Coturnix japonica: one gene and its partners. The protein of the gene in region 1 purifies or fractionates together with the protein of each later gene. This does not show direct contact. Links are inferred from orthologs where the notes say so. Each region holds a gene or a part of one and is shown in the gene's direction. Other genes may lie near its edges. The genes, in order: ARID4B, SAP130, SUDS3 and SAP30.

The links.
Region 2: the proteins of ARID4B (region 1) and SAP130 fractionate together in Homo sapiens (co-fractionation; 4 studies listed by BioGRID, with this or other methods). This does not show direct contact. The link is inferred for Coturnix japonica from reciprocal best matches to the Homo sapiens genes ARID4B and SAP130.
Region 3: the proteins of ARID4B (region 1) and SUDS3 purify together in Homo sapiens (affinity purification with western blotting; 3 studies listed by BioGRID, with this or other methods). This does not show direct contact. The link is inferred for Coturnix japonica from reciprocal best matches to the Homo sapiens genes ARID4B and SUDS3.
Region 4: the proteins of ARID4B (region 1) and SAP30 purify together in Homo sapiens (affinity purification with mass spectrometry; 5 studies listed by BioGRID and IntAct, with this or other methods). This does not show direct contact. The link is inferred for Coturnix japonica from reciprocal best matches to the Homo sapiens genes ARID4B and SAP30.

Annotation. Positions count from the first base shown.
Region 1 is NC_029518.1:34,296,723-34,304,294, forward strand, and holds part of ARID4B (AT-rich interactive domain-containing protein 4B), read left to right. Parts: intron 1-2,564; coding exon 2,565-2,637; intron 2,638-3,153; coding exon 3,154-3,248; intron 3,249-4,220; coding exon 4,221-4,318; intron 4,319-4,532; coding exon 4,533-4,800; intron 4,801-5,708; coding exon 5,709-5,881; intron 5,882-7,572. UniProt on the Homo sapiens protein: Acts as a transcriptional repressor. May function in the assembly and/or enzymatic activity of the Sin3A corepressor complex or in mediating interactions between the complex and other regulatory complexes.
Region 2 is NC_029524.1:1,631,745-1,639,316, forward strand, and holds part of SAP130 (histone deacetylase complex subunit SAP130), read left to right. Parts: intron 1-384; coding exon 385-543; intron 544-1,172; coding exon 1,173-1,284; intron 1,285-2,350; coding exon 2,351-2,475; intron 2,476-3,240; coding exon 3,241-3,365; intron 3,366-3,917; coding exon 3,918-4,068; intron 4,069-4,266; coding exon 4,267-4,357; intron 4,358-4,624; coding exon 4,625-4,729; intron 4,730-5,425; coding exon 5,426-5,567; intron 5,568-5,807; coding exon 5,808-5,929; intron 5,930-7,572. UniProt on the Homo sapiens protein: Acts as a transcriptional repressor. May function in the assembly and/or enzymatic activity of the mSin3A corepressor complex or in mediating interactions between the complex and other regulatory complexes.
Region 3 is NC_029530.1:8,708,760-8,716,331, reverse strand, and holds part of SUDS3 (sin3 histone deacetylase corepressor complex component SDS3), read left to right. Parts: intron 1-261; coding exon 262-331; intron 332-1,702; coding exon 1,703-1,758; intron 1,759-1,855; coding exon 1,856-1,927; intron 1,928-3,653; coding exon 3,654-3,673; intron 3,674-4,219; coding exon 4,220-4,376; intron 4,377-7,078; coding exon 7,079-7,174; intron 7,175-7,572.
Region 4 is NC_029519.1:38,527,200-38,535,235, forward strand, and holds the start of SAP30 (histone deacetylase complex subunit SAP30), read left to right. Parts: upstream 1-3,568; 5' UTR 3,569-3,894; coding exon 3,895-4,191; intron 4,192-4,890; coding exon 4,891-5,013; intron 5,014-7,286; coding exon 7,287-7,385; intron 7,386-8,036. UniProt on the Homo sapiens protein: Involved in the functional recruitment of the Sin3-histone deacetylase complex (HDAC) to a specific subset of N-CoR corepressor complexes. Capable of transcription repression by N-CoR.

The DNA of each region.
Region 1 (7,572 bases):
GATAGTTCTAGCTCTTTCCAGGATGCGTTGCCCTCTTTTCCTGTTTTGTAAATGGAAGAATGGAAAGTGCTTTCCTTTCCTCTTCTGAATGTGATGGTAACCAAAAGGATTGACAAGGATTCTCTTTTCTTCTGGATTATAATATTGTGTGAATTTTATCTGCCACTTTAACGCATGTTGCTTTTTTTTCTAGATTTTGTTGTCAAACATGTAAGCCAATTTCTTTTACCTTTGTGATGTAGACAAATTAAAAACCTCAGAACAACCTGCTTGGTGCTGTGGTTAAGTAACTTGGAAATAAGCAGAGATGACAGAATATGATATGTCTGCCTTAAACCATTATGTAGGAAACCTTGTTGTGTACTCAGTGATTATTTAAACAATTTCATAAATGTTTTAGAGATTGTTAACAGTTAACTGTTACCATATGTAGCATGTATCGATTTCTGTAAAGATTCTGAGAAAGAAGTCTTTCCAGAAGCACACGAGGTCTTAAGCTCCCCCATTAGCACACTTTCTTAGGAGACTGTACTGGGAATATTAACAAGGAATATCCACCTGGCATTTTGACACCTCTCTGCATTAATATATTTGAGATATAAGTACTTCTCAAACATTGCGTCTTGCGGGGAGGAAAGAGCAGCAGTGTTACGTTCAACCTACTCATCACCTTTATTTTAGTTCCCCTAACAGACATTTTGCAACTTGAAAGCTTTGTTGGATTAATAGCTTTCTCCCTCATCTTCCATTCCCTAAATAACTCTGTGGGACCACTTTCTTATGGCAGGTAGTTTGCCATAGGAAAGTTGTGAGGAATGAAGCAAAAACCACAAAGAGGTGCCCTTGATCTCTTCACCGTGTTCCAGTGAATACCTGTAAGAGTCCTGTACAAGTATCTGTCATGGGTGACATGACAAGAAAGAAAAGGAAAAAAGAAAATGAAAGAAAAAAATCCGTATCTCTGCCTCAGTACTGTGCACCTCTCTCCCCAAAAAGCAAAACCAAAGAACAGCAACCAAAAATTTTAATACATTCCAACATTCTAATTAGGGCATTTGTGGTCGTATTCAAGTTTGATGGTTATCTATGTGTGTCTGTCTGTACTACTGCAGGGCTGCAACATCGCTCCTCATACCGGTGAAGGATCACAGTGTATCCCCAACTCCTTCTTCCCCTCCGTTGTGAGGATGTAGCCTGTCCTCCTCGCTCATCAAAATAGCCTGCACTGAGTTTTGCTGGTGTATGAGCTAGCGGGTAGATGCTTATCTTGTCATGTCTCTCAAAGAGACTTTCATTTTGCATTGCCTTTGCAGTAGCTCTGACTGGAGTTTTTTTCATTGTGCTTCTGTTATTAAATATGTTTAAATGACAACAATTTCAGCACAGTGCAAATAGTTCCTAATTATTTTTTTTTTTTGTTTTGCTGATTTCCTTTATTACATTCTCCAAGTGAGTTTAATGGAGAAGAGGAAGTATACAACAAAAAAACTCTACTGCAGCCTTGCTTAACCTTATTTTCAGCCATCCACTAGTTTCCACAATTTTTGTTTCTTTTCCTGTCATATTTAATAATTTTATTTTATTGAATTCTGAACTGCCTTCGGTCTGACTTTAAAAGCGATGTGTTTTGTGAAGCTTTAATGTTTAGCAAAAGGAGGCTGTTGAAGGATGAAAAAATTAACATGGAATGGAGATGCACACACACTAAAATGTTAGAATTTATTAGTTAAATTTAGAAGCTTTTAGGTAGTAGTGAAAAAGGAATGTAGAAAATTAACTTCTGTTCAGCGTACTGGTGTGAAGTAGCTTAGTCATCCGTTTCTGAGAATTTTCATTATAAGCTTAATATTTTAATACAAATGGTTGTGGCAAGTGACATTTTCTGATGAAATTAAACCCCAGTGCTTTGTTTGGAAACCCCACTGTTTATTCATTTAAGTAAATCTAATACAAAGATTTATTAGTGCAATGAACTGAATATCCAAAATATCCATTGTTATTTCAGTTCTGGGATTGGTCCTGCTCACTACGCACGCATTCAGCTGGTACCTCATGGCAGTAGCATGCGGTGTCATTGGCTGTGGTTTGTCAGTGCTGTGGATTAGAACTTCTGAGAAAGTGCAAGCGTGATTTTATGTTCTACTTCATTCCTGAAAGTTGCACAGTACATCCAAGCATTAAGAAATTGCTTAACTGCAGAAGAAATAGAGATCTGATATCCCTTGAGCATTAACACTGGTATCTCCCAGACTTTGTGTGAAGGAACAAAATTAAGAATGTGTCTTGATTGATGGCATTTATGATATCTGTGACAGAGATTCATCAAAAATCCAATTTCGGATGTGTCATTACAGTTATTGCCTTACGTAAGTTGAAAATGTGTGCTATATAAAACTCCACGTGACATAGCATTGAGGCCAATTTTGTTTGTATAGTTTCTTGTTCCTGACTGCAGTAAAAACAAACTTAAACTTTTGAACCTAAGTGATTTTCTTATTGACAACCTGTAACTCACAAGGGTAAAATGTTTGTGTGCTTTTTTTTTTTTTTTTTTCCTTGAACAGGAGGAACTAGAGCCTTTTCCTGAAGAAAGGGAGAACTTTCTTCAGCAATTATACAAGTTCATGGAAGACAGAGGTACACATTTCCGTGTTTGACTTGTTAGATTTAGAGGTATTGCTTAGCAGTGCTTCAAAGACCTGAGTCTGTGAACTAGTAATACTGTACGGTTTATTTTTGGAAACAGTGAGACTGTATCCCACATGTCTGGCTTCCCATCCTCTCAGAAGATGAGTCTGTCTGTTAACTCTGCCCCTCAGCAGGAATAGGCTGGTTCTTTTAGAGGCAGTTTTTTTTCAGTGGGTGAAATAGAAATGTTTATATAAGAAGCAAGAGAAGTTGCATCGTTTGTGCATACTTGTTAATATATCGAATAATGCAAATGTATGAATTTATTTGTATTAATGAACTACAGGCAAAATGGCTTATTAAACCTCATGAGTTTTAGTTTTCACAAAAAATAAATAGTAGATGCACCAGATGGTCAGAAAATTTACCGTACTATTTAATGGTGTAGTAGCATATGTGGAGTAGATTTCATGTTGCTCTCAAAAAGATATTTCAAAACACAGTAATAACTGTCTGTCTTTACAGGGACTCCTATTAACAAACGACCTGTACTAGGATATAGAAATTTGAATCTGTTCAAATTATTCAGACTTGTACATAAGCTTGGAGGATTTGATAATGTGAGTATTACTGATCTATAAAGTCTAAGGGTGGTGTTTTTCCTTAATAAAGAATAAAGTATTGTGTAGCAGCTCCAGATATTAAAACTGAATTCTACCAGAAACTAGTTATATTTTAAATAAATTGTCTACTGAGTGTGTTATTACTGCAGCATAAAATCAGTGTGTTTCTGTGAGATTTCAAGAAACGTCTGTCTAATAAAATCGTTACCCTGAAGTGAAAAGTGTTGCTGCTCAGTGAAATCCCAAAGGCAAGTAACTGTAAGTTCAAGTTGGTTGTGAGGCACTTAACTCCTACCTATTCTGGGCAATATATAGAGGAACATGCTGACAGGAATTCATCTTGGTGCAGTAGTTGATGCATAGGGAATTCTTAGTCAAGTAGATTCTGTTACTGCTTTGAGCTACTTCTCGTAAATCTAGCCTGTCAGCTGAGAAGGTTGGTTTGTGCTGTGCCGCCTTTCTACTATAGAAGGGAGGATCTTGTACTTAGTATCACAGTAGATCTCTTTTACCTTCACAGATGGTGAGAAATGAGCATGTCACACTGTCACAAAGCTTTGACACCAAAGGGTGCGTTAAAGATATACAGTAGCTACCAGTCTTAGATTATCTGGTGCAGTGCTGCAGGGATGTAGTATTATTAATACTTTGAGGTTTTTTCTTTTCAATTTAATTAAAATTCTAGATGTGATATTTCAGGAATTATTTTAACTGTGCTGATCTTTGTATTTTTTCCCCCTTTATTACCACCTAGAGAGAAAGGCCAGCTGTGGCTTACTGAAGTGCAGAAATGCTAAATTGCAACAAGTAGTTACACTAGACTACAGTTTGCATTACAAAGTAGAGTGTACAATAAATAGAGATTTTGTAGAGAGAATTAAATACTATTGTATGAAATTGTAGATGTTGTCAGCTTGGTCTTCTGTATGTCAGTTAATTCAGCAGCCATTGTTACATTTGCTTTAACAGATTGAAAGTGGAGCAGTGTGGAAACAAGTTTATCAAGATCTTGGAATCCCTGTATTGAATTCAGCTGCAGGATACAATGTTAAATGTGCATACAAAAAGTAAGTAATAAAGCCACACAGTTTATGCTAAAACAGCACTAAAAAGAAATAGAGTTCTTGTGATAGTGGTGGCAATATACATAAATTCTATAAGTTTGGTTGTAATGCAGTCTTTGTAAGCTTTAAAATATATTTCTTCTATTAAGCTTCTGCTAGGTAACACAATTTTTCTTCAAAAAAAACTTGTTTATCAGAAGTGTGGTTTTTTTTTTAGATATCTCTATGGCTTTGAAGAGTACTGTACATCAGCAAATATTGAATTTCAAATGGCATTACCAGAGAAAGTGACAAGCAAGCCTTGTAAAGACTGTGAAAAAGAAAAAGATTTAAAGATGCGTGAAGATCCAGAGCAGGATGTAAAAGAAATAAAAGCGGATAAGGAGGAGCGCAAGCAGGAGGAAGTAGTGGCAGTACAACAAGAAGAAAAAAAGCTAGCTGAGAATGATAATGAAAGTAAAGAAAATGATAAGCCCGTGCTTCTGGTAAAATATTTTAATGTTCATGTTATATCCTGTTGATAAAGGCAGATAATGTGTTGATAACTATGAGTTTGTATTAAGACAAATCTCTGTAATTGATTTAAAACTAGACAAATAACATGCTGTAGATTAGTTTTGAGCAATATTTGTCTCTTCAGTGTCTGTCTTAGAGGTTCATGGTGTCAAAGTCTTTGAATTGGCAGGAAGCAGATGAAGCTTTCCACCTGTTTGGGGCACTCTTGAGTCAAATGGGGACTGATTAGCATGCAGCTGTATTGTGATCTGGATAATGCATGCTTACAACTATCTTCACTGCTGATACTTCTATTTTGTATTGAGCTAGGCTTTTAAGCCCTCCCAGGTTCTAGAGAGATATGGTGTATGCAGTGGCATAATTATTTCACTAATCCAGAGAGACAAATCTTTTTACCTTTTCAAAACTCAATACTGGCCCAGTGGTTTTAGAAAAGGAGAACTGAGGTGGTAAGCTGAGCAGTGAAGGTACAGCAGTTTGCTCTGGAAGTGGTGTAGTTCTTCAAGTCAATATGCAACTTAGCTGTGATGTATGCAAGTGGCACCAGCCCTGGCCTGTCTGCTGCTACTAACTCCACAGTGACCGTTAATGCTGGTGTTTCTGCATACTGAGCGCAGACATATCCTGTGAACTGTTTTAAGAGTTGTGTGCTAATGTTGCTGTAGTAAAACCTAGGAGATTGGATTCAACCAAGGACTACTGTATGTGTGCTGAGAATTTCAAACATAAAACCAGTGGAAATGCTGTAGTTTTAGAAAGAGCCCTAGAATCTAGTGCTTTCTTTTTCCCTTCACAATAACTTGTGCATTTTGTTCTTCTGAAATCCTCTGAATTCTTATTTTTTCTTGTAAATTAACTGAAGGTTTTATTGTCTTAGGGGAACAAAAAAAATTTACCAGATTCAGTGTATACGCAGCCTGACCAAGAAAAGGACTTGAATGTAATCAAAACTGAAGATGAAATCAAATTAGAAGATAAAGAAGAGGAAAAGATTAAAGAAATGGAAAATCCTACCATAAATGCAGAGGCTGACGAAAAAGACAAATCAGGGTAAGTTACTCTGTTTGTAATCAGATAAGGCATCTGATGTGTGCTCATTAACTTTACTCTTGTCTGATTTGAAGTTCAAATTACCTCCCTGCTGTGATTAGGCTCCTGTTTTCTGGAGATCTGTGTGCTGCTCTTTCTCATGGTTAGTGCTGCTGAAGTTAGTGAGTCTAATTAAAAATATGTAACCATTTTTATAAAGCTTTATGTAAGGCTTTTAAAAGATCCAGGCCAAAATATTTGCAAGCTTAGCAAGCAGCAGAATGTATAAATCTCACTTAAGACAAAAATATTGCAAATATTATGAGTAGAATAGTATTGTCTATTTAACTTGGTTGCTAGATTTTGTTGTTGGACAGTAACATGGGAAGAGAGAAATACCTCACATAATTTAGTAACAACTTTATGTTTATTTAAAGTGGTTACTTTTTAAATTTAGTAACCACTGAGCGGAGATAACACTTGCAGGAGACCCTTGTGCAGCCCTTAGGACTGAAATTTTCAAAGTAGGAGATGAATTACTTGGATCTGTGCATCCTTAATGCTTCCATGGATGAAGTTGACTTTAGTTATAGACTTGACAACTTCTCACATTTCAGTGAAAAAGTAAAAAAAAAAGACAGCCAGATCTTGAAAAACAAAAGCAAAAAAACAACCATAAAAACAACAATGAAGTCTAAACCAGCATATTGTTCTCACTGAACCGCAGGGTGGTAGCAGTTCATATTCTTAGGATTAGAAGCCTTGTACATTATGATTTTAAGTAAGAAGATATAGGTAGCTGTTACAGGTTATGTGTCAAAGTTCTGTATTATCTGAGGATACTGTATGTGACTGAAAACGGTGCAGATGCTTAAAGGAGAAACTTTTCTTTTTAATAGGGAAAGCAGCTAACGGCACCTTACTCTTTCTAGACAGTCTGAGTCTCAGGGGATGTTTTATGTAGTTAATAGCAGCTGTTGCCTGACCACTAGTTTCCTTGTTCATTCTACTGTTCCTTTGCTATATTTAGCAGATAAACTCTCTTCCATCTTAATATCAGCAACTGTTATTGCTTGTTCTGTCCCATTAAAAGATATAACAGAATGCTATAGCTCATTGTGTTGATTTCCAAGTTCATTTGAAAAGATTTTTCAGTTTTCTTTTAAGCATTTTGATTTCTGAGAGAATCCCCCCCAGTAAAATGTCATCTTCCCTATTCTCAAGGAAATTCCACTGAAAGCTTGTATAACTCAGAAATCCAGAATAACAAGAAAAATCAAATTTGCCTGAACTCAGTAGAAGAGCCTTTTCCCTGTGTATGTGACTTGACTTATGTTCTAGGTGACTATCATTTTAAAAGACTGGTTGCTGGAACTTTACATCCTGTTTTGTAAGAGCAACCAGAGAAATGATATTGTACCAGGTTTTCTGAATTTTCATAAATATTGAAGGCTAATTTTATGATACTTTCAAAGTATGTAACTGAATGTAAGGAAATCTGCACTGCTGAGAGAAAAGCAGTATTTAAAAAGATCTCTAAGTACTGTGTGTGTTATTGTGGTGGTATTTAGTACTTGCTTATATTTGGAAATAAGGCCGGTTTAAAACTTATCACAATGCTATAGAAAGAAAGTGCAGCTATGTGCTGCATTTGGTCTTGTTTTGTTATCATTTCTGATTCATGTCCATTTGGGTTATTTATAACAATAAAA
Region 2 (7,572 bases), on another chromosome or scaffold:
CACTGAGGCCTTCCTGCCATCACAGTGTTATCCTGAAGGAGTATTTTTGCACACTTTAGAGCAACTTCAGGGCAGTCCTAAAACGTTCTCTCTGTAAGAGTGGATGAGAACATGAAACAAACTGCTGATCTGCAGTATGTAAAGGAAGGCTACAGCCCCACCAGGTCCTGTGTGTCACTCATGCTGTGTGTTAGAAGAATTCCAGCACAAAACATGCTCTTTGTCCTAGGTGAAAATGGAATGGCCATTATACACAGTTTTGAAACCTCTGTCCCTACTTACTTTTGGGCAAAACTGACTTTCTCCTCAACCTCTATGAATGGTTTCTCCAACCCTGAGGTGCTGATGGGAGTTGGCCACATTCCTGACGCTTCTTTCTTGCAGCCGCCGCTGAAGCCCACGATGCCCAGCCGGCCCATTGCTCCTGCACCACCCTCCACCCTCTCAGCTCCTACCAAGGTTCCTGGACAGGTCACGGTCACCATGGAGAGCAGCATCCCGCAGGCTCCAACCATCCCTGTGGCCACCATCAGCGGACAGCAGGTCTGTGCTTCCTGCTGTGCTCACTGTAAGGTTGGGGCAGTGCAGTGCTGGCACAGCAGGTTAAGCTCTTGGAGCAGGGGGGAGGCAGAGAGCAGGCTTTGCTGTCTAGCAGTTACACACTGTTGGTGTAATCATCCAAATGACAGACTGCAATAGGAGAAACATATCCAAAGCTGTTCTTTGAATAATTGAATTTGAAGCCAGCGTGCCAGGGCACTCATCGCAAACCCTCTGAACTCTCAGGGCTTCAATGTAGTGTCCTGAGGAGGATTTGAGTTTGAGTGGCCGAGTGCCACTGTTCTTCTGACCTGAATGGCAGTGTGGTAGAGATGTGTGCCTTTAAGGTCACTGATAACAGAAGGGACATGTCCCAGGTTGGTGTCTGAGTGGCTGCTGACAGTCCGCTGTGTGCCAAACAGGGAAACAGGGCTCTGAAATTTTGACATCTTTCCTGTACGGTGTCAGCTGGCTCTGACTTCTCCCTGTTTCTTTACTCCCCTGTAGAACCCTTTGTACAATGTATTTCTACTATTTTTTTCCCGTCTTTAAAAGTCTTGAGGCAATGCCATCAGAATGGCTGCTTATCCACAGAGCTCGCTCTTTATTTCTTAATGTCTTTAATTCTGCAGGGCCATCCTAGCAACCTGCACCATATTATGGCTACTAATGTGCAGATGTCAATCATCAGAAGCAGTGCTCCTGGGCCTCCTCTACATATCGGAGCTTCCCACCTTCCTCGAGGTAAGGGCTGAGCAGTGTGTGTGGCTGCCTGTCACGCTCACCTCCTGGGCAGTGCACCCACCCTCTGAATCTCTCTTCACTGCTGATCTGTGTTGTATTGCAACCTCAGCTGTTCTACTTTTGTGCTGCCACCAGTGAATGCTTTCAAAGAAAAACAAACCTGAAAAACAAAACCATGCTGGCATAGATTGGCCTGTTGTGCAGAATGCAATGTTCTTGGTACTAAGCATCTCTCACTTAAGCACAGTGATGGCTGACCTACCTGATAGAGGATCATTTCAGTATGTGGTTATACGTGCTAATGTATCATTTGCATTTGCCCTTGGGTTAAATGCTGTTGCTACGTCCAGGCTCCTGTCTCCCTGGACTTCAGCTGCTGCAGCTTAAATAACAGCAGAGCAGCCCTTTAAAAGAAGCTCAGCGCAGTGATTTCTGATTAGCTCTGCTTTCTAAACATTTATGAGTTGGGTCTCCAAGTTTCAGCTGATCTGAATTTCAAAGCACCGTTTATGTTTTTATTTCCATTGAGATCCAATATTATGCCACTGCTCAAGGGGAACAAAAATGATGTGTGCAAAGATCCAACCTTGTATTGGAGTAGCTGGAAAGACTGCAGTATTGTTTGCAGCTGAAGTCAGTGTGGTTTTGGTCACCTGATTCCTGCACCCCATAAACCTGGGGTGTTCACCTAGTGTATTTTCTCTCCTCCCGATCTCTTTCTCTCAGCTTGCGTACCACCTTCCAGAGTAATTTCAGTCAGGAATGTTTATGCAGTGTAGTCCATCAAATGCTTTCAAGGCTATTTGCTTTTCAGAGCAGTTTTACCTGATCAGGAGGCAGCAAACTGTGGATACAAGGAAAACACAGCTCTCTGCTGTTGCAGGTTTACAAGTTGTTGGTGCTTTTTCCTCGATTTCTGTTCATTGCAGGGAGGTTTCTGCTATCAGGTAGCTTATTTCCCCATTAGCTCAGTAGTCAAGCTGCCTGAATTATTTCTACAGATTTCCTTAGCTAGGAAGCAGAGCCATTTGTATGCACTATTTAACATGCTTGGTTTGCTTCCCAGGTGCTGCAGCTGCTGCAGTGATGTCCAGTTCAAAAGTAACTACAGTCCTGAGACCAGCATCCCAGCTGCCGAACGCAGCCACGGCTCAGCCAGCAGTTCAGCACATCATTCATCAGCCGATCCAGGCAGGTAGCAGCTGGGCAGCTCTGCACAACCACCTGCTCCAAGTTCCTCCTGGCACCTCCTTGCAGTCCATAACCTGTAAATGCTTGTTTGTTGGCCTGCAGCTGTCAGCAGCTCTCTTCTAATTCAGTTTGTTGGGTATCCATTTCTGATAGCAACCTGTGAAATGGTCCCATTAGTCCTGTGCTTACAAGCTGGGAGCAGGACATAGTGTGATAGTGGAGCTTCAGCCTGAAAGGCCCAGCACGTCATGCAGATGGGGATTTATTCTTAACTGTATTGATGTAAAATAGAAAAAATTATTTTAGTATGCTTCCATATATCTCAGCTTCTATATGCATGTAAGAGAGAGACTGCAGGTATCTGCTCTCTGTTAGCGTTCGAGGTTAAAATAAAGGGTCAAATAGCTTTTACTTCAAGATCCAGTCGAATCATCTTTTTGACTTCCTATATGTGCCTTAATATGGGGTTTCAGGCTGTTCTGAAGGAGTCTTTGTTGGGTTTTATTCCTCCAAGAATGCGTCGAAAGCACTGCAGTAATTTCTGTTCACCTTCCTGGTCGGTAGTGCCCTCTGTGTGTCCTTTAAAAAGCAGAACGGATTTGCATAGGAGCGTGCAGATCAAATCAGAATGATTGAAAACATCTCAGAATGCTGACACTTAACGATAAGGTTTTTTAACAAAAAAAGGGATTCTAGGCAAATAATTCCTACTTGTTCTCTGAACCGCGGAATTTCTTTGCTGAATGTCTGCCTCTGTTCTTACAGTCTCGTCCTCCTGTGACGACTTCAAGCACTATCCCTCCAGCTGTGGTGGCAACTGTCTCAGCCACGAGAGCTCAGTCTCCTGTTATAACCACAACGGCAGCACATGCGACGGAGTCAACCCTCAGGTAAAGATGACTAAGGCAATTTTTTTTATAGTCTGCAGTGCTCTGACTTTACAGAGGCTGTGGGAGGAGGAAACGTGTTAGACATGTTGAGCTGATGATCCTCTGGATGTGGGATGGTACAACACAAATATAGGAGTGCCTGCATGCTACGGAAGCTTATTCTGTGAATAAAAGTTACTATAAAGATGAACTGTTGCACTGTGTTACAAGAATGGGCACAACAAATCAGTTGTGAACCACTGCTTCCTGGAAAGCTGAGTTTCCTTTCCAGAAGCCTGTGGGTAGTTCAGCCCATCTTTTTTCTGAGGACACAGTGAAGAATGACACGAGAATGTTGTAAAGCATCCCTGACAGGGAAAGCTTTTCTACAGAGCCACTTAGGGCAGACACCTGATGAGGACAGGACAGTGCACTTGAGTTCCTTGTGTTGCTTCACCATGTTTTTGATAGCAGTGCTGCTTTCAAAGAGAAAGAGAACAAAGCTAGATGCATCACTTTATCTTTAAGATGTAGTATCTACAGAGTTATCTTCATGATTGTTTTTCTCTCCAGCCGGCCCACCCTGTCTATCCAGCAGCACCCCCCTTCTGCAGCTATCAGCATCCAGCGGCCCGCACAGCCACGCGATGCGGCCACGCGGATCACGCTGCCCTCCCACCCGGCCATAGGAGCACAGAAGCCACAGCTCCACACCATGGCCCAGGTAGGCTGCGAAGGGGAAACCCTCCTGCTGCTTTCGGGCAATGTTTGAGTTTACGTTTGGGTGGATGAGATGAAATTTGGGAAAATAATACAGTATTAGAAATTGATGCTCTTTACATTCCGTGCAGCACGATTCTGAGCTAAGTAGATATCAAAAACGTGGTAGTATTTTAACTTGAAGCTTTTCTTCTTCTAATAGAAAACCATTTTCAGTACTGGTACTCCAGTGGCGGCAGCAACAGTGGCACCTATTTTAGCAACGAATACCATTGCTTCAGCAACCACAGCTGGTGAGTGTTCATAACGCTGTTGTGAGAGGGTTGTGGATTGAGGTTTTCTTGTTTCTTTATGCTGAAGTTGGAATCTAATTGGAATTGAGGGAACCTTCCTTTCTGCTAAAGACTGCATTTGGAAGTGCATAATTAGAATCCAGGAGAGAAGCTGCTGAGTTCAGGGGTTGTCTGGGCTGGGTTTTTTCACTCTTTAATTGGATATAGTTAGTTTTACTTCTATGTGATAGAGCTCTGCAGAAATATCCTGTCTGTTCTTTTTCTTAGGTTCTGTTTCTCACACCCAAGCGCCTACAAGCACCATTGTCACCATGACAATGCCCTCCCATTCTTCCCATGCTACAGCTGTCACAACCTCAAACATCCCAGTTGGTGAGTGATTTCAGTTCCAAGAGCAATGTGTGCTGGGTACTTTGGTTGTACTGTTTATGCTAGCAGTGTTTGTGTGCATTGGAACATCAAGGAGGGGAAACAAATCAATCCAAGCAGGGAGAAATCAACTAGAAGGTCTGCTGTGGCACAGCTTATTTCAGTGCCAGAAAGAAATTGATGTTCTAAGAGAAATAAGTAATAAAATGGCTCATTAACTTACTCAATTGAATTTTCAGACAAACAGAGGCTTTTTGGCATTTCAGAACCTGCACTGTATGTGCTAGGAGTTGTAACTGCTTGGCAATAGGGCTTTCTTAGCTGGTTTTTGTAAGTTCCTTCCCACGCAACCTTTCTTCAGGAAGTTATAGAGAGCAATAGAGACCCTGCATACATAGCAAGGAGGGTTGAAACAAGGTTATCGTTATGGTCCTTTTCAACCCAGGCCTTTCTGTGATGCTTCCTATTGAAGCAATGTATCATCACTGCGGATAGGAAATGATTGGAGGTTGGGGGTTTCTTTACAGTGGGGCTGGGGCTTTGTGGCTAGAGTAGGTGTGGTATTTGGTCTTGTGTAGGTTTTTTTTTCAGTGTGGCTTGTTTCTGTCTTGATTTTTGTTGGGGATTTTTGGGAACTAATTTTGACTCTGCAGCGTCTCCCAGCTTTTTCTGACTGATGACTTGTTTGTCTTTATGCAGCTAAAGTGGTTCCTCAGCAAATCACACATACTTCTCCCCGGATTCAGTCGGATTATACAGCAGAGAGGAGTAACCTCATACCCCTCTCTAGTCACCGGGCATCTCCAAACCCAGTAGCAATGGAAACCAGGAATGACAACAGGTGAGGAGATAACATTTCTATGAATAAGAGAGTGTGAGTAGCTTTTGAGTACCTTACTACTTGTCTGGGTTCTGATACCCCAGGGAACAAGTCCTGAGAGAGATTTGGTAGTTCTGAATTAATCGCAAGAGTTAATAAATATGACAGATGTGATGACAAAACTTGGGCAGCGGCCCAAAGACATGAGGTGAAGGTAGGCAGGTGTAGTGGTGTAACACTTGTTGTTCTTGCTGCCTGCAGGCAGTCGGTGCCTGTCCAGTTCCAGTACTTCCTACCGACCTACCCGCCCTCTGCCTACCCGCTGACTGCTCACACCTACACCCCCATCACCAGCTCGGTGTCCACCATCCGCCAGTACCCAGGTGAGGAGCTGTGGGATGAGCTGCTGATGCTTTGCTCAGTTGTTTGTGTGCCACCTGCAGCATTTGGGAGCAGCTGAGAGGATTGTACGCTCCATTCTGGTAACTTGGCACTGAGTCTGACTTCTTGTTGGTTGAGGGGAAAGCATGAGCAAAAGGAGCACTGAGCTACATTAGAGGCCTCCTACACACAGCTAATGACCATTTTGGTGTGAGTTTCATACTCAGTATCCAGAATTTCTCTTTAAAGTGTCAGATTTCACAGATCAAAAAGGAGTTCCTCCAAAGCAAATAAGCTCGTTATCCATCTTCATTCCCTCATGTTCTGAGAAGCACGTTTTTGATATGTTTTCATATGACTGCATGGTCTGAGAGAGAAGTATGAGCTGAAAGCAGAAAGCAAGTTGCATTGCAACCTCTTGGTGTTGTGTTGACAAAAATCAGGTGATAACCAGTTTGAATTGTTGCAGTAGTTTGTGGAGAGACAGGAAAAAAATATCACATATAACGTGAGCCAGTGCAGTCATCCCAAACTAAGGTCATTCTCTTGAGACAAAAACTTGGAGCACTTCACCTTGCTGAGTAGCTTAGGGCAGATATGGTGATTTCCAAACTCTAAGAAAATGCCTAATTCGGGTTTTCATAGTGTCTGCTGGTAGCATGTTGCTCTTGACCAGTACAGTGGCCTTGGAAGGACATGGAAGTTGCAAAGTCCATTTGCTGACTGGGAAAATATGCATAGGGAATTATGTGTTACTGAGGCCTGTTCTTTGTTAGTGACATTGGAAGTTGCTGTTGAAATTGAAGTTTCAGGTCTTGACTGTAAGTCATGAGCTTCAGGATGATGAGTTGGGATATGGACAGTGGAGCTATTTTGCTTATTACATTGATTTGAAGCATCAATTAAAGGTATTAATTAGGGCAGTAACTGGTGACACCTCAAAGCAGAGAACACGGTACAAGGAGGGATGCAAACCTACGCTGAGGACAGCCATGGAGGACTTAGCAAAAAGTACAGAGGAAACCTTTTGAAAGATCACTGAGCTGAGGGCTACCTCTGTGCTTTGAGGAAGGGGGTCAGCTTTGGCTTTCCAAGAGCCAGTTGTGCTTCCGCAGTCTCCAAAATGATTTTGTTGGATGGGCAGTTCTGCGACAAGTGTTTCACCTTCTGTACCCTGAGCAGACGTGGTAATAGGAGCCATTTCCAGGGACTGGTGCTGTATCTTAGCTTTTAAGATAGCTGTTTTTAGAGGGACTGGTCAGCACAAGAACTTGATGGAAATCCTGTGACAAAACCAGCTCGTTCAATTGAGAGCGTTCTCAATTGTTAGCAGACAAGCTCATTGCTGCAAGTTAGCACTTCATTCTGTGCACGGCTGCAGAAATTATGTTGCTGTTGTGTCATGTTTGGAGCTCTGGAGAACTGCAGGAAGTCCAATGTGGCCACTAAATGTTCCCTGTGAGAAGTGCAGCACGACTTAGGGCAGGTCTGGAAAGATGTGACCATAGTTGCTTAGAGCTGTACATTCAAATTAGCTGAACTTTTCAGTTTAGGTGCGTCACTGGGAACGCCGCAAAGATGCTGCGTTCATTGTAGCTGCAGGAATCAGCCTGTAATTGCCTGTTGTGAGTCAGATAAGATTGCA
Region 3 (7,572 bases), on another chromosome or scaffold:
GTTATGAGACTAATGGGAAGAGATTAGTGGAGTGTCTTGGGTCAGTGCTGCTTAAACGTGGTAGAAGCTATGTTGTAAATCTGCTGGTGGCCTTACATGGGATAATTGGTGTCAAGGAAGAGATGTTTCGAGTTGGTTCTGAACTCATTTCTCCAGTTGCCAGTCTGGCTGCGTATTTGCCCAAGTGTGGGGTTTTTTAGTGCTTTCCTATGTTCTTTTAATCCTGCTTAGTTTTAACAAGTCATTCTTTACCTCATTTAGATACCGAGGATGCTAGCGAGACTGATCTGGCAAAGCACGAGGAGGAAGACTTTGTAGAAATGAAAGAACAGTAAGTAGCCCATTCTAATGAAAAGTGAGGTAGTGTTTTTGCTGCCCTTTTAGGGGGGCTGGGGGAGGATGTCTTGTTTTTGTATAAAGCTCTGCAGTGCTTTGGACCAAGATTTGGGTTAAAAGAAATGTAGCTCAATGTAATAGCACGCATAATCATATTTCTTCTCAGTTCACGAAGCAAAGCAATGTTCTGAACAAAGAAACACACAGCAGCTCAGTTTTGCTGCGGATGAATCCCTCTGCAGGCAGATCCTTTAAAGAAAAGAAAGAATCTGCTTGATACAAGCCAAGCAAAAAGCAAGATGTCTGTGAAAATTACTTAAGCAGCTGAATGCCAGTCTTGTCCAGGGAGAGTTAACTTTTTGGAGACTTGAGGTAGCTTATTTTTACCTTAAGATGTATTTGCAGCTTTTCATGTTCGTTTACTGGCAACAGTGTGGTTTTTCACACAGGTCAGGAAGAGTTGGTGTATGTTAAACCACAGATACGTGAGAAAGGAAATGCAAGTCTAAGACAGCAATAGGAATAGACTTTGGTTTTAGTTTTGGGTTTGCCTTTTTCTTATGGTGTGTGTGCTGGGGAGTTTTATATGTGTACGTAAAATGTAGACACACATATATTTCGTGTATATGTGTATATGCAGAATGTTAAGGGCTATGTGAGGAAATGCCTTCTGTTTTATCAGTAGGAAAGTGAGACAAATATTGAGACATGATAAAGTGGCAGGATGACACTATTGCACTGACACTATTGCAAGGTTTTTGGTGTCTGTAGGTCTAAGTATCACTGTAGTTTTCCGTGTTTAAGGTAAATGACGTAAGTCATGTTTTTGCTGAACTCTTAAGGAAATGATTGACAGGAATGCATCGTAAAACTGATGAGCTGGCAGTTTCTTTTAGACAGGAGGATGTCTCATTTGTAGGATGTATGGTGACAATAATGAAAAGATGGTAGTAAATACCTAAAAGGTTATTTACAGGAAAAACTCACCTACATGGAAGCCTTTGGTCTGCTGGGAACTGCTGAGGTAATCTCCACCAAGGAGCGATCTCCAAGAGATGCTGCCTTAGTGGTGGTCAGCCCTTAAATGAGGTCTAGAGGAGGTGGAGTCAAGCTCCAACCCTTCCAGGAGTACAGCTAAATTACTCTCACCTGTGCTCCCACAGCTGACCCAACACTTGCCTCAGCTGGTTAATCAGAGGTTCAGGCTGTGATTACCAATTTCACATAGTAAAAGGGTATTTATCCTGTTTGTTTCCTGAAGTTCTTCTGAAAAGTTTCTAATTCAGTGTAAGCACGCTGTAACCGAAGCAGGTGGTGATACAAATAATTTGCTTGTTTCTCAATGTAAAGGTCTCTGTCTTTGCAGGATGTATCAGGACAAACTGGCATCTCTTAAAAGACAGTTGCAGCAGCTGCAGGAAGGTAAGTTTTGAAGGAGTGTTTGTGTTTTACGGCACTCTGAGGAAACTGAATATGAAGGAAAATATAATTGCCATTGAAACTGACTATTTGTTTTTAGGTACTCTTCAGGAATATCAGAAAAGAATGAAAAAGTTGGACCAGCAGTACAAAGAAAGGATACGAAATGCTGGTAAGCTGTGTTTCTTTCAAAGGTGCTGCGTATGCCTTTGCGTTACAGTTTTTGTTACACCTGAAGAAACATGAAGGTAACTCAGCACTGAAGTGTTGGAGCAAAGGGATTCTGTGCTCTGAGGGTGGGGTGTGGTTGTTATTGAGTTTATGAAACGTAATGGAATCTACCTTGAAAACACCCACCCCTCCATCAGTGTTGTTTGCAGTGTTTACTAAACAATGTTTAGCTATTGCAAAATGGCACAAATGAAAGTGTTTCATTTATATCTGCCGTTATGCCTACAGTCTTCCACATTGGCTTGTTCTTTTGTGCATCTTGTCTGACCCCTTAGGACTGCCTGCTTTCTCGGAAATCTCTTATGTGCTTGAGAACGATGAATATAGAGGATTTGCTCCTGCAAATGTGTCTGCTTACAGCCGTGACACTGAATGGGCTGCCCACATCTTTTGGCTGTGTTTCCAAAGTGAGGGCCCAAGTTCATTTTAAAGTGCCTTTCTGAGAGCCTTTATTGTGTTAACGCAGAGATACAGCTTGGAAATCAGATCTGTCTGCTTGCTTTCCTTCCTGTTCTCTTTCCAGTAGTTTTGAATCTTAGATACTGAAGCAACAACCTCTTATAGAAAAGTCAGATACATCCCATTATACTGTGAAATAAGTCAGAGCAGTTGTATGATGTCAAATACACAGCAGCCTTTCAGTAATGCGAGCTGTCTTCTGAAAGACTTTGTGATAGTAAAAGATTTGCTTGATGAGTTTATGTAAGTTGAGCTGCTTTGAGCTGCTTCTTGCAAGCAGAAATTCATCTTCTGAGATGAAATTACTGTACATTAGAGTGGCAGTCTAGTGATAATGGGATGTTGCTGTAAAATTAACTGTTAAGTTGTATCCCTGGCTGGCCAGGAGAGTGTTGCAGCAGCACCTTTCTTCCAGAGGAGGGCAGATTGTGCTTAGTTATGAATTAGGATAAAAACCTGACTGCCTACTGTTACAGGAATGGGCTTTTGCATTGATTCCTCCCATGTTGAGTGCAGTTTTTTGTTCTGCTTTCCTGTTGTGTTTTTTATTTATTTTTTTTGAGAATCCAAGTATTAATGCAGCAGCTTAGATTTGTCTGCATGTGATTATGTCTGTAATGGAAATACACATAGAATCATAGAATGGCTTAGGTTAGAAGGGACCTTAAGGATTATCAAGCTCAAACCCCCCTGCCACAGGTGGGACCACCAACTTCCATGTTTAATATTAGACCAGGCAACCTTCCTTGCTGAGGATATAGAGGCCTTTTCAAACAAAAGGTTTAATTTCAATCTTGGCTATCTATCTTACCTTTTACAGCGATTTAGAAAGTGATAACAGGCAAGAAAGCTGCTAATTTCTCAGGCATAAGCAGCCTGAAATCAGGCACTTGGTGTTAAATAGATGAATCAAACTGCTGCAATATTATTTCTGAAGGAATCATTGCTGGGATTCATAGTATTGGTCTACCCTGTCCATTTTGGCCAACCATGTGTTTCCAGCTATGTGTTTCAAGCTTCTATCTGGGAAATTTGTATCTAGAATTGATATATGACTGGAAGAAGGGTGGATTATATACTTGATATTGATGGAAGCAGTAGTTGAGCTGAAAAGACTGGTTTACTCCTGTGTAAGGTTTGCAAATGTGATTGAATAGCTGTAGAAAACGTGAATTAAGTTACTAAGTTGGGTCTGTCTTGTCTTTCAGAACTGTTCCTCCAGCTGGAAGTGAGTACTCTTAATTTATCACAATACATATTAAGTAAGTGGGAGGGGTTAAACCTGCAGCTTCATCAACCAGCTCTTTTTCTCACTTTTTGTTTCCCCCTTTGGTATCATTACAGTTAAGTACAGAATACTGTTGTGTTGCCTACAGTAACTTCCAGGCTGTCATTAAAAAGAAAATTAAGTATACACGTTTTCTTGACTTGCTGTATGCTACTTGTGTGTTTGGTTGTTTAAAAAGCTTGTTTGAGCTTAGATGGGGTGGTACATGATAAATGTGAAGAGCTTTCTGTTAGAGACTTGATAGGGTATGCACCGTTAAAGTGTGTTTGAAAGGAATTAATTCTTTTGCTGATAACAGTTCTGCTTCCTTAGTCATCTCAGGTGGTTTTGTGTTGTATTATTTAGATGCTGATAATCTGCAGAAGTGGCCATAGCTTTGAACAGAAGAGCTAATGAAAGCAGAGCAGTTGAGAGGAGGTGTTGCCAAGTCATTGACTTGAGATATTGGTTCTTTAGCTAACTCTTTTATCTTTTGATTTGCATTAGACAGATCAGGTGGAAAAGAATTATGTCAAGGAAAAGAAGGCAGCAGCAAAGGAGTTTGAAGATAAGAAAATTGAGCTTAAGGAAAATTTGATTGCAGAGTTGGAAGAGAAGAAGAAGATGATTGAGAATGAAAAGTTAACCATGGAATTAACAGGAGGTAAAAAAGAGATCTGTCATTTTTTCTTCCCCGTTTCACCCCTGCTTAGAAAAAAAGAGTTTAAAAAAGCCATGCTGGTTTATACAAACTGCTTGACCTTAAAACATCCCAAACATCAACTGATGTGGATCACAAATTGGTGGTCTTTTAGTTCATAGAATGTAGTTCATGATAAAATTCAGCTACCTGCATTATTAACATGTAAATCAAAGCAGTGTTGACAAAGGAACAGAGTGCAGAAGCTTTCTTGTTCATTTTTTCTCCTCTCTAAAAAGCAGATACTGAGTTCCTGTGATTTCTAGACTTGATAAAATGGTGCTGGCTCGTTCCTGAAAGTTAATCTCATGTGTTTGGATTTGTAGCTTCTTTTTAAAATGGATTTTTGAGATACTGTTGTAGAACAATATTTCTTAAGTTAGATTGAACAAAATTCATTAGTTGACTCACTGCATGTACCATGGCTTTCCCTGTGGTTAGAATCCCCTTGGAGACATTCAAGATCAAGCTGGGCTCTGAGCACCTGATTGAGCTGTAGATGTCCCTATTCATTGCAGGGGAGTTGGACTAGGTGATCTTTAAAGGTCCCTTCCAACTCAAAAGGTTCTACCATTCTATGATAATTTCCCTGAATTGGGATGGCAGTTGGAACCAATGCATTTTAATCATTTTTGTTACAGAATTCTGGAGAATGCCTACCGTATGTTGGTATTTTTTCACTAGGCTGATATATTTTCATGGTGTCCTACTCTATATACAGGCAAAAAGGGCTTCTTTAAGTTCCTGCAGAAGTAAAACTATTGAGAAGTGCCACAATATTGACCTGACCAGTGGTACCAGTTTTTAAATAGTGCAGATGGTTAAGAAGCTAAAGGAAGGTAAACAACAAGGGTTAAAATGTTCTACTTAAAGCTGGTAGCACAGATTGATTTCAGTTAGCTGCATTTGTGTCCAGACTCTGGAAAATGAGCATTAAATGGACGTGTTTCTCTTATGAAGCCCTTGGGTGCCTTGTCAGCAGAGGAGTGATAGGGCTGATAGGACTCCTTCACAGGTTGTGTTGCTCTGGTTCAGAACCAAAGGTCTGATCTGATTTCTTTACAAGAAGCAACTCCCACGTGTTACGAACAGCTGATGTGTTGCTGAGGTCTGTCCATGAATTAGACCTTTACATCTTTCTTAGCATCTGCAAGCGTTATGTAAGCTAATAATTTAATTGGTGCTCAGAAATGAGAAATAGAACCTGTTCGTACAGGCTTAAGTGCTGCTGGTGATGTACAAACCCGTTAGGGCTTGTCTGGTCTGGAAAACATCTTGTGCTGGTTGTTTATTTGCTTTTAGATTGTTTTTATGGGTCTTTCTGATCTTACCAACTCTGTGCCTTTGCCTTAACTTTGTTATTGTTAGTCTGGGCTTCCTCGCTGCTAAGCCAGCATACAGTGCTAATCCTGCAATTAGATCTTCATTGGGGAATCAAGGTCTGAGTAGATCTTGCCTTTGTAAATCTGCACGCCGCTGTTCTAAGGGTCTGAAGGAATCCAGTGTCTCCATCAGCAGGCAGCACAGCTGTTAATGTCAGGGTTGGGATTTGCAGAGTGAAAGGGAGACTGAGGAGGTGTAAAAAGAGCTATTCAGGGGTAATGTGTCTGATTTGGGGACCAAATTAATTCTCCACTGGGAAATATCTCCCCCCACTCTTGTGTGTCCTGAAGAGATGAGCTGTTTCATCAGGCACAGCTCTGGTAAAAGGTGTGTAAGTAACTGTGGAGAAGCATTTCATTCTATGTGTGTGTGCTAGGCCTCTCTTATCTCCCTCCTTCCAGACCAGCAGAAATGCAATTTGATTCCTTTAGAAGTAGCAGAATTCATCATGAATGCATACTGCAGGCTGAGAAAGAAGCACAATGGAACGTGTGTGCACTCAGTGATTTCTAAAACCTACAGAGGAGCTCAATGTGTGCAAGAATGCAGGTTGGCAACCTGATGAGTAGCAGGCTGGTTTGTGAGCATTGGGACTTCCTTGCAGTTTCAGTAGGTTGTAGCCGCTGCCTCCTGGAGCACCACCTTGTGTGGTTCTCACCTGTTAAGGCTCATGTAAGCTTGTGTTTCATTGTGAAATCTGTTGGTCTAAGAGCTTTAGCAGCTCTTAGAAAATGGCTTCAAGTTATCACAAATCTCAAGAATCACAAAGATGGGTGTCAGTCTCCATCTCGAATGTGCTAACTGTGCTGCTTAGTGTTCCAACCTGAAGATGTGAGAAAGAATGGTTGATCTGTAGCTGATGCCTTATGTGCTGCTACCTATTCAAGTTTTATTAGCAGATAACTCCATCTAAGAGGTCTGTTTAGACACAGATATGTGGTGTTAGCATGAGAGAAATGTTTGAGCCATCATAGCACTGCTGTGCTGCAGTTACCTGTACCTGAGGGAGATGCTGAGTGCCCCCAAGCAGCTGTGCCACTTGCAGACAATGAAAGCTGTAACCATGGCATCACAACACTGTTGTTCAGCAGTGGCCTAGTATAAAGGAGAGCTCATATTCACTGTCAGCAGTTCCAGCTTGGATGCTAGAAGCTGTCGTGAGGAAGATCCTGTTTTCTGAGTGATAGAGATAACATTGTTTTCCTTGTGCCCTCTGTAGAAATTACTGATTCTTACTCTTCTCCCACTGGCCCCATCAGCTTTCCAACTTCATTTCTCTACAGATTCTATGGAAGTGAAGCCTATCATGACAAGGAAACTGAGGCGACGACCAAACGATCCAGTTCCCATCCCAGACAAGAGGAGGAAACCTGCCCCTGATATCCTTCTGCAGAAACATTGGAGGGCTTTTGTATTTGAAGTCAGCATGCTGCCTGCAAGGCGGAGTGCATCACTGCTGTTGCATGTAGGAAAAAGAAAGATATGAGGTGCTGGAATCAGGATTTAATGTAGGAAATACCCAAGTACAATTGGTTATGCATATGGTGTGATTAACAAATAGTGTACAGCTGATCTATGGAGATAATAAGTTAAACTCTGCAGTGTCATGTGATAATGTGGGTGACTTTTTTTGGCATGGAGACTGGTTTCAATTCTTCTGGCAGTTTCTTCACAAAGGGTAATTTTAACAGGCCGTTATACATGAATGTTGAGGCAATTGATTCCATAGATAGGAAATGACTTTTTCCATGAACCACAGCTTTTCTCATTTCAGGAT
Region 4 (8,036 bases), on another chromosome or scaffold:
CTTGTTTCTGAACCAACACTTATGCTTTTTTCTTTTGCATGTGAAAATCAGTCCTTTTAAAAGAAGGTCCTTTGCTTATTGCACAAGTGAGCTGGTACAAACTGTGAAGGGGAATGTATTACAGATCTTCAAAGCTTTTACAGTACACAAGCTTATCAGTTTTAATCCTGTAACACCTAGATTATTCCTAAAATACCAGGTTTATTTTTGGACCCTATTTACTGCTTTAAATCTAATAAAAGCACGTGTTACATAAACTCTTATACACTCGTAATTTTCATGCTACAAGCTGGAGTGCTTTAAAAAAACTAAAGGAATATTGGCTTCAATGGGATGACTAAAAGACCTGAATGAAAACACCAGTTTTACACTAATTTAATTCTTTTGGTTAAAGGTAGGATTTTCTCTCTTATCATTTTATTTACTTCTACAGTAAACTCTGTGTGTGCTAATGGAGATTTTGTTACCCGATTAAGTATTGAAACAAAGTTGCATTTTAGCTATTCAAGAGAAGAAGTTTAAAGAAGGGGAAAAAAAGTCGTTTGCAGGTAAATCTTAATGTTCCTGTGTTTTCAGCTCAATGCTTAAACAGCTGGACAATAAATGGGAGGCAGCAGTTAGTGGGTAATGGAGTGGGAGAGGATCAAACATTTGAGAAAGAAGGGCATGATAAAAGGACTGAACTTTGTTTCTGCTGAGGAGGAAGAGATTTGTTCTCTGTTCTCTGTGTTTATGGTTAGAAATAGATCTCAGCCTCTAAAGTACTTACAGTACAACGTATCAAATGTTTCCATTTCTGACACACAGACAGTGATTTCCTGTTGATTTGGTTGCTCTTCCATGAAAAACATCACGGGACGTTGTACAATATCTACAGCAAATTAAGGAAATCTGTTTTTAATTGGAACAGTTACAGTCTGAAACAAATAAAATGCTCATTTACTGTTAAAAATTGCACCAGTCATTTTCCTTAGTGCTGTATTTGCTAACAGGATAATTTGAGGTGCTGAACATAAGCAAGCGCACTAAAATTCTCTTAGACTTCAGATGAATGATACCTAATGGGGAAGGGAGTAGTAAGCCCCAAGTGAACCTTATCATGCCAAGGTGTGTATGCAGTCATGAACCATATTTCCTTTACTCAGCTCTTGTGAGGCCCCATCTGGAGTACTGTGTCCAGGTGTGGAGTACTGTGTCAGGACAAGAAAGACATGGAGATTTTGGAAAGGGTCCAGAGGAGGGACAGGAAGATGATCAGGGGACTGGAGCACCTCCCCTGTGAAGACACGCTGAGGGAGTTGGGCTTGTTCAGCCTGGAGAAGACAAGGCTGCGGGGTGACCTCATTGCAGCCTTTCAGTACCTGAAGGGAACCTACACCCATGAGGGGAGTAAACTCTTCAAAAGGGCTGACAATAGCAGGACACAGGGAAATGGTTTTAAGTTAAAAGAGGGAAGATTTAGGTTGGATGTTAGGGGGAAGTTCTTCACTAGGAGAGTGCTTAAGCACTGGAAGAGGCTGTCCATGGAAGCAGTGGATTCACCGTTCTTGGAGGTATTTAAGGCCAGGTTGGACGGGGCCCTGGGCAACCTGATCTAGTAAAGGTGTATGTTTGGTGGCCCTGCCAGGCAGGGGGGTTGGAACTACATGATCCTTGAGGTCCCTTCCAACCCGGGTCATTCTGTGATTCTGTTACTTGCAACACATTTACAGTGTGCTCGCAATCTATTCAAGGTGATGTGTCCAGTTATCATTCTTCCCTCTCAAATACAAACCAGTCAAAAGTGAACAGGAGTGGGAGTGGGACATACAGCATCTCAAAGCACGTAAGCTGCTCAGCTTCCACCTGTACCTGGTCCTCCTTGGTGCCAGGAAGTTCAGGGCCCATAAGGTGTGAATCTGGGCATTCTTTTCAAGACAAAGTAGCTTTTAGGCATTCCTACCAAAGGAGATGTTCCTTCCCTGTTCCTGAATCATTCACACAGTCCTGCCCTCCATCAGAGCTCCCTCTCTGCTAGGACATGATCATATAACTGAGCAGTAAAGCAGATGTGGGTTTAACATAACTGATTTTCTTTTCCCTGGTCTAGTTGTAACCAGATCCAGTTTGCCACAGAGCTTTAGAAATGCTTTTACAGGCACAAAGAAAGACAGGGCACAGGTGTGAAAGTCAGCAGCTTACAGAAGAAGCAGAACTGTGTTTCTCAGCCCTGCTGCAGCCTTATCATGATCTAACCATGAAACTATGATACTGCTCTATTGAAATTCAGCTTAGGAATTAACATATTGGCGAGCACGGCTGAAATCAGGCTTTTATCTGCTCACGAACTGTATAAAGAGGATCAGGAACATATCTGAGACATAGTAGTCTCTACATTTTAACAGACCACAGCAAACATAACAGACTGTGTATTTTATGCTCAGCATAAGGTCAAAACCATCTGATGAAATGAAACGGATCACAAAAGACACAGTGTAAGCTGGTAGAAATTGCTACTTGTGACCCTGATTTCTGCTGGAAACTTCCTGGAACTCACACTTCTTCCTATATCTTCTTTAGGTAAGGTCTCCTACTGTTGTGTGGCTTTGTTTGTTATTATTAACATCATTATAATCTTTGAAAGGGTCGAATCACAAGGAACTTGAGCAGCGAGTTAAACGTCCCTTTTCTGAGCTGACACAGTGGCAGGGTGTGGAACTGAACCCAGCTGGGCTGTAACAAAGGAGGGTTCGGTATTTTTTCCAGCTCTTAACCCAATTTCTCCCTTTAATCACAAAACGTGCCCTCATGCATAACTGCTGTCTGTCACTGTACGCTCAGCCTAACTCCACTCGCTGGATCCTTCAGTCGCAACTGCTGGGAGCGTAAGCGGGACCTACCCTCGTTCTCTAATGCCAGGTTACGCAACCGGATTAAAAAGCCATCTGCAGCACAAACCCAAACTGCAGCATAATCGCACTCCCTGGCTCAGGCAGTTGTTGGGCTTACACGGGATCTGCGTCTCCTCAAATCGCTCGCTGACCTCCCGGTTACTCTCCTGATTCCACACTCGCACAGTAATGGATACGGCCGCATATTTCCGCGGTTACCTCACGGCGCTCGGGCCCGTTAGCGAATTTAAGGGCTCAAAAAGGAGCGCAAAGCCGCCTTTTTGCGCTCTGAACGCACTCGGACGAAAATAGGTCAGAGGCGGCCCCACAGCGGCTGAGCTATTACAGGCTGTGCGTTAACGCGGCTCTCGTGTAGCTTTCTTAGAGCTCGAAATATCTCAATACAGGCAGCGTTTGATCCGGACACAACGCGGAGCCTCAGAATCCACTTCCCGCCCCCGGTAGCGGCACGGCCGCATTTCAAATCCCAACGGCCGCGCCGACGGGGAGGAGCGAAGGCGGCGTCCTACCAGCCGGCCCGGGCCGACACCGCCACATGCCGGCGGGGGGCGGGCGGAGCCGCGGCACCGAGCTGCAACAAGCTGCGGTGTGTGCGGAGCGGAGCGCCCCGTCCGCCGCGCAGCTCGGGAGCCGTAGTTTCCCGGCCTCGCCGCCCGCAGCGCAGAGCGGCGGGACGAACTGCGTTTCCCGGAGCGCAACGCGGCTCGGCCTTGAGCAGGCGCAGTGCTGAGGGGCGGGGCGGCGGGCAGGTTGCTGTTGTTGCATAGGAAACAGCTGAAGAGTCTCCACATGACAGAGGGGGAAGGAGGAAGCGGGGCGGCCCGTGGGGCGCCGCCAGCGCGCCGGTAGCCGCGGGGCTCGGAGCGAGGGCGCCCGTCGCGCCGCGCGTGTTCCCTCGCGGTCCGGGCTGAGCGCGGCCGTAGAACCCTCCGGGCCCGAGTCCCCTCGCCGGGGGGAAGCGGTGGCGGCGCTCGCGGGGCTTCCCGCCGGCCCGACGCGGGGCATGAACGGTTTCGCCCCCGAGGAGCTGCCCCAACGCGGGGCCGACCCCGCCGTCGCCGCCGCGGGCGCGGTGAGCGGTGCGGGCTCCGGAGCGGAGGTGCCGGCGGGGTCGGCGCCCCCGGGGCTGGCCGTGGGAGCCGCGGGCGCGGCCGGGGCGGGCGGCCCCGGGGCCGGGCAGCTGTGCTGCCTGCGGGAGGAGGGAGAGCGCTGCGGCCGCGCCGCCGGCAACGCCAGCTTCAGCAAGAGGATCCAGAAGAGCATCTCGCAGAAGAAGGTGAAGATCGAGCTGGACAAGAGCGTAAGTCTTACGGCAGCGGGCAGCGGCTCGGGGGCGGCTTTTAAAGTTCTTTTTTGGCGTGTTTTCTTTTGTTTGCGGGTTGTTTTTTTTTTTTGTCTTTGCCGGCGGCGGGGAAGCGCCGTTTCCCAGTCCCTCCTTTCCCGCAGCGCTGCCGCCGCCCCGTCCCGCCTGGAGCCCGGCGCTGTCGGTGCCCCACCCGGCGGCCGTGGGCGCGGGGCTCCGTGTGGGGAGGGCTCGGCGCGGCCGCACGGTGCGGCCCTGTGCAGGAGAGCTGGGGAATGAGGGGAGCGGCCCGCGTGTCGCTTGACCTTGCGGAGGTAAAGCCGTGCGGATGGGGAGGAGGTGGCATTTTGCCTCCCGCGGGATGTTCCGGAGGCTGCCCGCCTTCCGTTCGTGCGTGTTTGTTTGCCGATCCCCGAGTTGCTGCGAGCGGTTGGAGGGAGGGTTGTGTGCGCGCTTGTCCCCGCTGCGCGACGTTCTCTGCCAGTCAACCGGTAGCCGCTTCCCCCCGTCCTCCCGCCGAGTCGGTGGAGGTAACATAACAATGCCTCCGTGCAGCGCTATCAGGCAGAGGGGCTTCCCCACCTCGCTCCGCGTGAGCGAGGCTGCCTAAGGAATGTCTCTGTAGATGCCTCTGTGCTGCCAGGCTGGGAGGAGCTTGCACGGGTTTGATTGAAAGATGCGGTCTTACTCTTGTAGGCGAGACACCTTTATATCTGCGACTTCCACAAAAACTTAATTCAGAGTGTGAGAAATAGAAGGAAGAGAAAAGGCAGTGATGACGATGGTGACTCACCAGTGCAAGACATCGACACTCCAGAGGTAGCCAACGGTTTTTCTAATAGTTACGTTAAGTCTGTTCCTGCTTCAGCCGTGCCTGCTTTTGGGGATGGCTCCTGATGTGCTTGGCTTTTAATATGACAAAAGCAAACTGGATTCCAGGGTGTATTTTCTCTATTAGATGTGCAGAATCTCAGGCAGCTGCTGTTTTGAACTTTCCTTACAGTTTTGGCTCCAGGAGCCTGCTAGAAGTTGTTTTGCTATGAAAATCAGTCTTTGTAAAGGTTGACAGGACACACCGGACTTGGGCTATAACTGCTTCTCTGTCACATCCCTCCAATCCTTTCCTTCCATGTGAAGCACGTTGCAGATGGTGCCTGTAGTTACCACTTAGTGTAGCTGGAAGTTTCTCAGTGAGGGAGCTCACTGGTTTTAGTCCTTCTTGGGGATAGAGATGCTGAGGCAGTTTTGCTGAGGAGGAGCTGAAATAAGAAGGCATTTCTGCTTGCCTTCCTTATTGTAGGCCAGTGAAACACCACCCGTTTTGGAAGTGAACTACTTTCAAACTTTTTTCATAGTATAATGTGAATGCACTTAAAGCTTTCTTCTTCCTACATGTGTGCTGGATTATTTCTGTTACAGTTTGTGTGTTAATCGTTGAGCACAGCCTACCCGGCCTCAACCAAGAGATTTATCCAGTGTTTGTCAGAAGGTGCTTGAGGATTGTGAACTTATCCTTAAGGTCAGCGTCAGCAATGTCAGTGATGAAACTTCATGCAGGAATCTCTGCCTGGAGGCACACGGCTCAAGCCTGAAGGCTTTGACTATAAGAGGATTTTAGGAGATTGGAAGTAGTTTGATGCTGGGCTGTGGTTTTTGTCAGCTAAAAACATTGGATGGCATCTCTGAAAGCTCTCTAAACCTGCTGTTCTTTGTGGCTTTTGGTAGCTGTCTGGCACAGTGGCAACTGCAGCTTTTGCCTGTTTATTTGCTCAGACAGGAATAATAAAGCATGACACAACTGATGGATATCCCTAGAACAGAAGAAAGGAAATGTATTTTCAGTGGTAGTGGTGCAGGGAAGTAGGTAGTTCTGGAGAGTTTCAGCATGCAGTTCCTGTGTGGTGTTGGTGTGCTATAGATGCCCACTGGCCCCTTGATTTTTGAACTGCCATCCAGTTTACTGCTGACCACCTGTAGGGCATTCCCATTTCCAGAAGTAGATGTTAGGAGTGATTTGCAGTGACTTCCACAGTGCTGCTGTCTTGAGTACGAGGGCATGCCATCCTCTTAACACGTAAGGCAGGGTTGTATCAAGTCTGACCGGGTCACCAGGAGTGCACTGGCACTGTTGTTGCCTTAAATATTGCATAGCTGAGGCTGCTGGATGACTTTAAAATAGAAGTTAATGCTTTAACCAGTCTTTAATGCAGGAAGTTTGGAGAACAGTGCCGTAATTGCAACTGACCTAATGGAATTTCTTGTTCAACCTGCTTTCTTAGCTTCCTTTCCTCCTCAGTCTTCTGATTAAACTTTGTTTTACGCTGTCAAGAAGGTGAGAGGGTAAGCTGTTGCTGGGAGAAGCGGCTGTTGATCTGAGTTCATGGGATTAAAAACTGAGAGAGTACTGGGTTGAGGCAGTGTATTTATATCCCGGAGAGGAGCTTGTGCAATGCTGTGAACTGTCAGCTCACACTGAAAAATAGTTTTGGGCAACTATGCCTATGTACATAACTCCTCTGTTGTGCTTATTGTAGCAGGGATATTCTTGGACACCAAGACCAGCTCTTTTTTTTTTCCTCTCCCACCTCAAGCCAAAAACCTTCATGTTCTAGACTTTGTCTTGGTTCTAACTCATGCTGTCTCATGGTGCAGCTATGCTGCTGTAGACTGCAAAAGACTTCATGGCTGAAATTGAAATGCAGAGCCTACCTTTTGAATCAGCATCTTCATAGATGTTATGATGTTATGAGTTTTGTTACTGTGCTTTGTGTCATCATGCTGAAAATGGGGGGGGGGGGGAAGGACAACAATGAAAGAAAAAAACAGAGACGATTATAGTACTGTAAGTTCTAAATATTGTCTGCTGCTAACAGGAGGAAGAGCCGTACTTAGTAACAATAAACTGCTCTGAAACTGCAATGGAATGTTTTTCTTTCTCCTGGAAGGTGTGGAGTAAAGTTTTGTTCTCTGTCAAAACGAGCTCTACTGAGCTGACAGTGTGTGGTTGTGTATGTGCAAGTTTCCAGGATGACGAGGGAGACCTTATCAATTACATTAGGTTGCTTTCTTCCCCCTTTCTCCTTTTCTTTTAGGTTGATTTATATCAGTTACAAGTGAACACACTTCGAAGGTACAAAAGACACTTCAAGCTACAGACCAGACCGGGACTTAACAAAGCACAGCTTGTTGAAGTACGTATGAGTGTTTACTCCATAATAGAAAATGCAATTTGCCATGGCATGCGTTGTGTTGGGTTTTTTTTTTCTCTGCACAATGTGATCCTTGCATGAAGTGCATATATAATCTGGGTTTTATGAGAGCAGAAAGGAGCTGCTTATCTGGCTTCCTTCACTGCCATAGCTCCTGAGCCAAGGAAATCAGAAGGAAGAGCTTCTTTCTAGAGAACGGACCCATAACTTTCAGAAGGAGCATGTGTTGCTTGAAAATAGTGAGCTGAACAGTAAGGTGACCTGTGCATCAGCCACACCTTCCAACTTAAGTATCCTACTGATGATAATTTGAAATTGAGAGGTAGCAGTGGTAGAAGTGCCGCTTGCAACACCAGAGGCCTGGGTTCGAATCCCCCCTGTGGCGTAAGTGGTAGAAGTGCTGCTCTGCTACACAGGAGGCTCGAATCCCGGGGGTTGGACTCGATGATTTCTAAGGTCCCTTCCAACCCGCACGAGACTGTAAGACTGTGAAGTTCTTTTAAGATTCAGGCTTGGCTTTACAAAGCTGATTAATATAGGCATCTTTTCACGTATAGGAAGTTCAGAAACACGGAAAATAGACTTCTATTGATCATTAATCTCAGTTAAAAACAGGGGGTCTGTTATTACAGA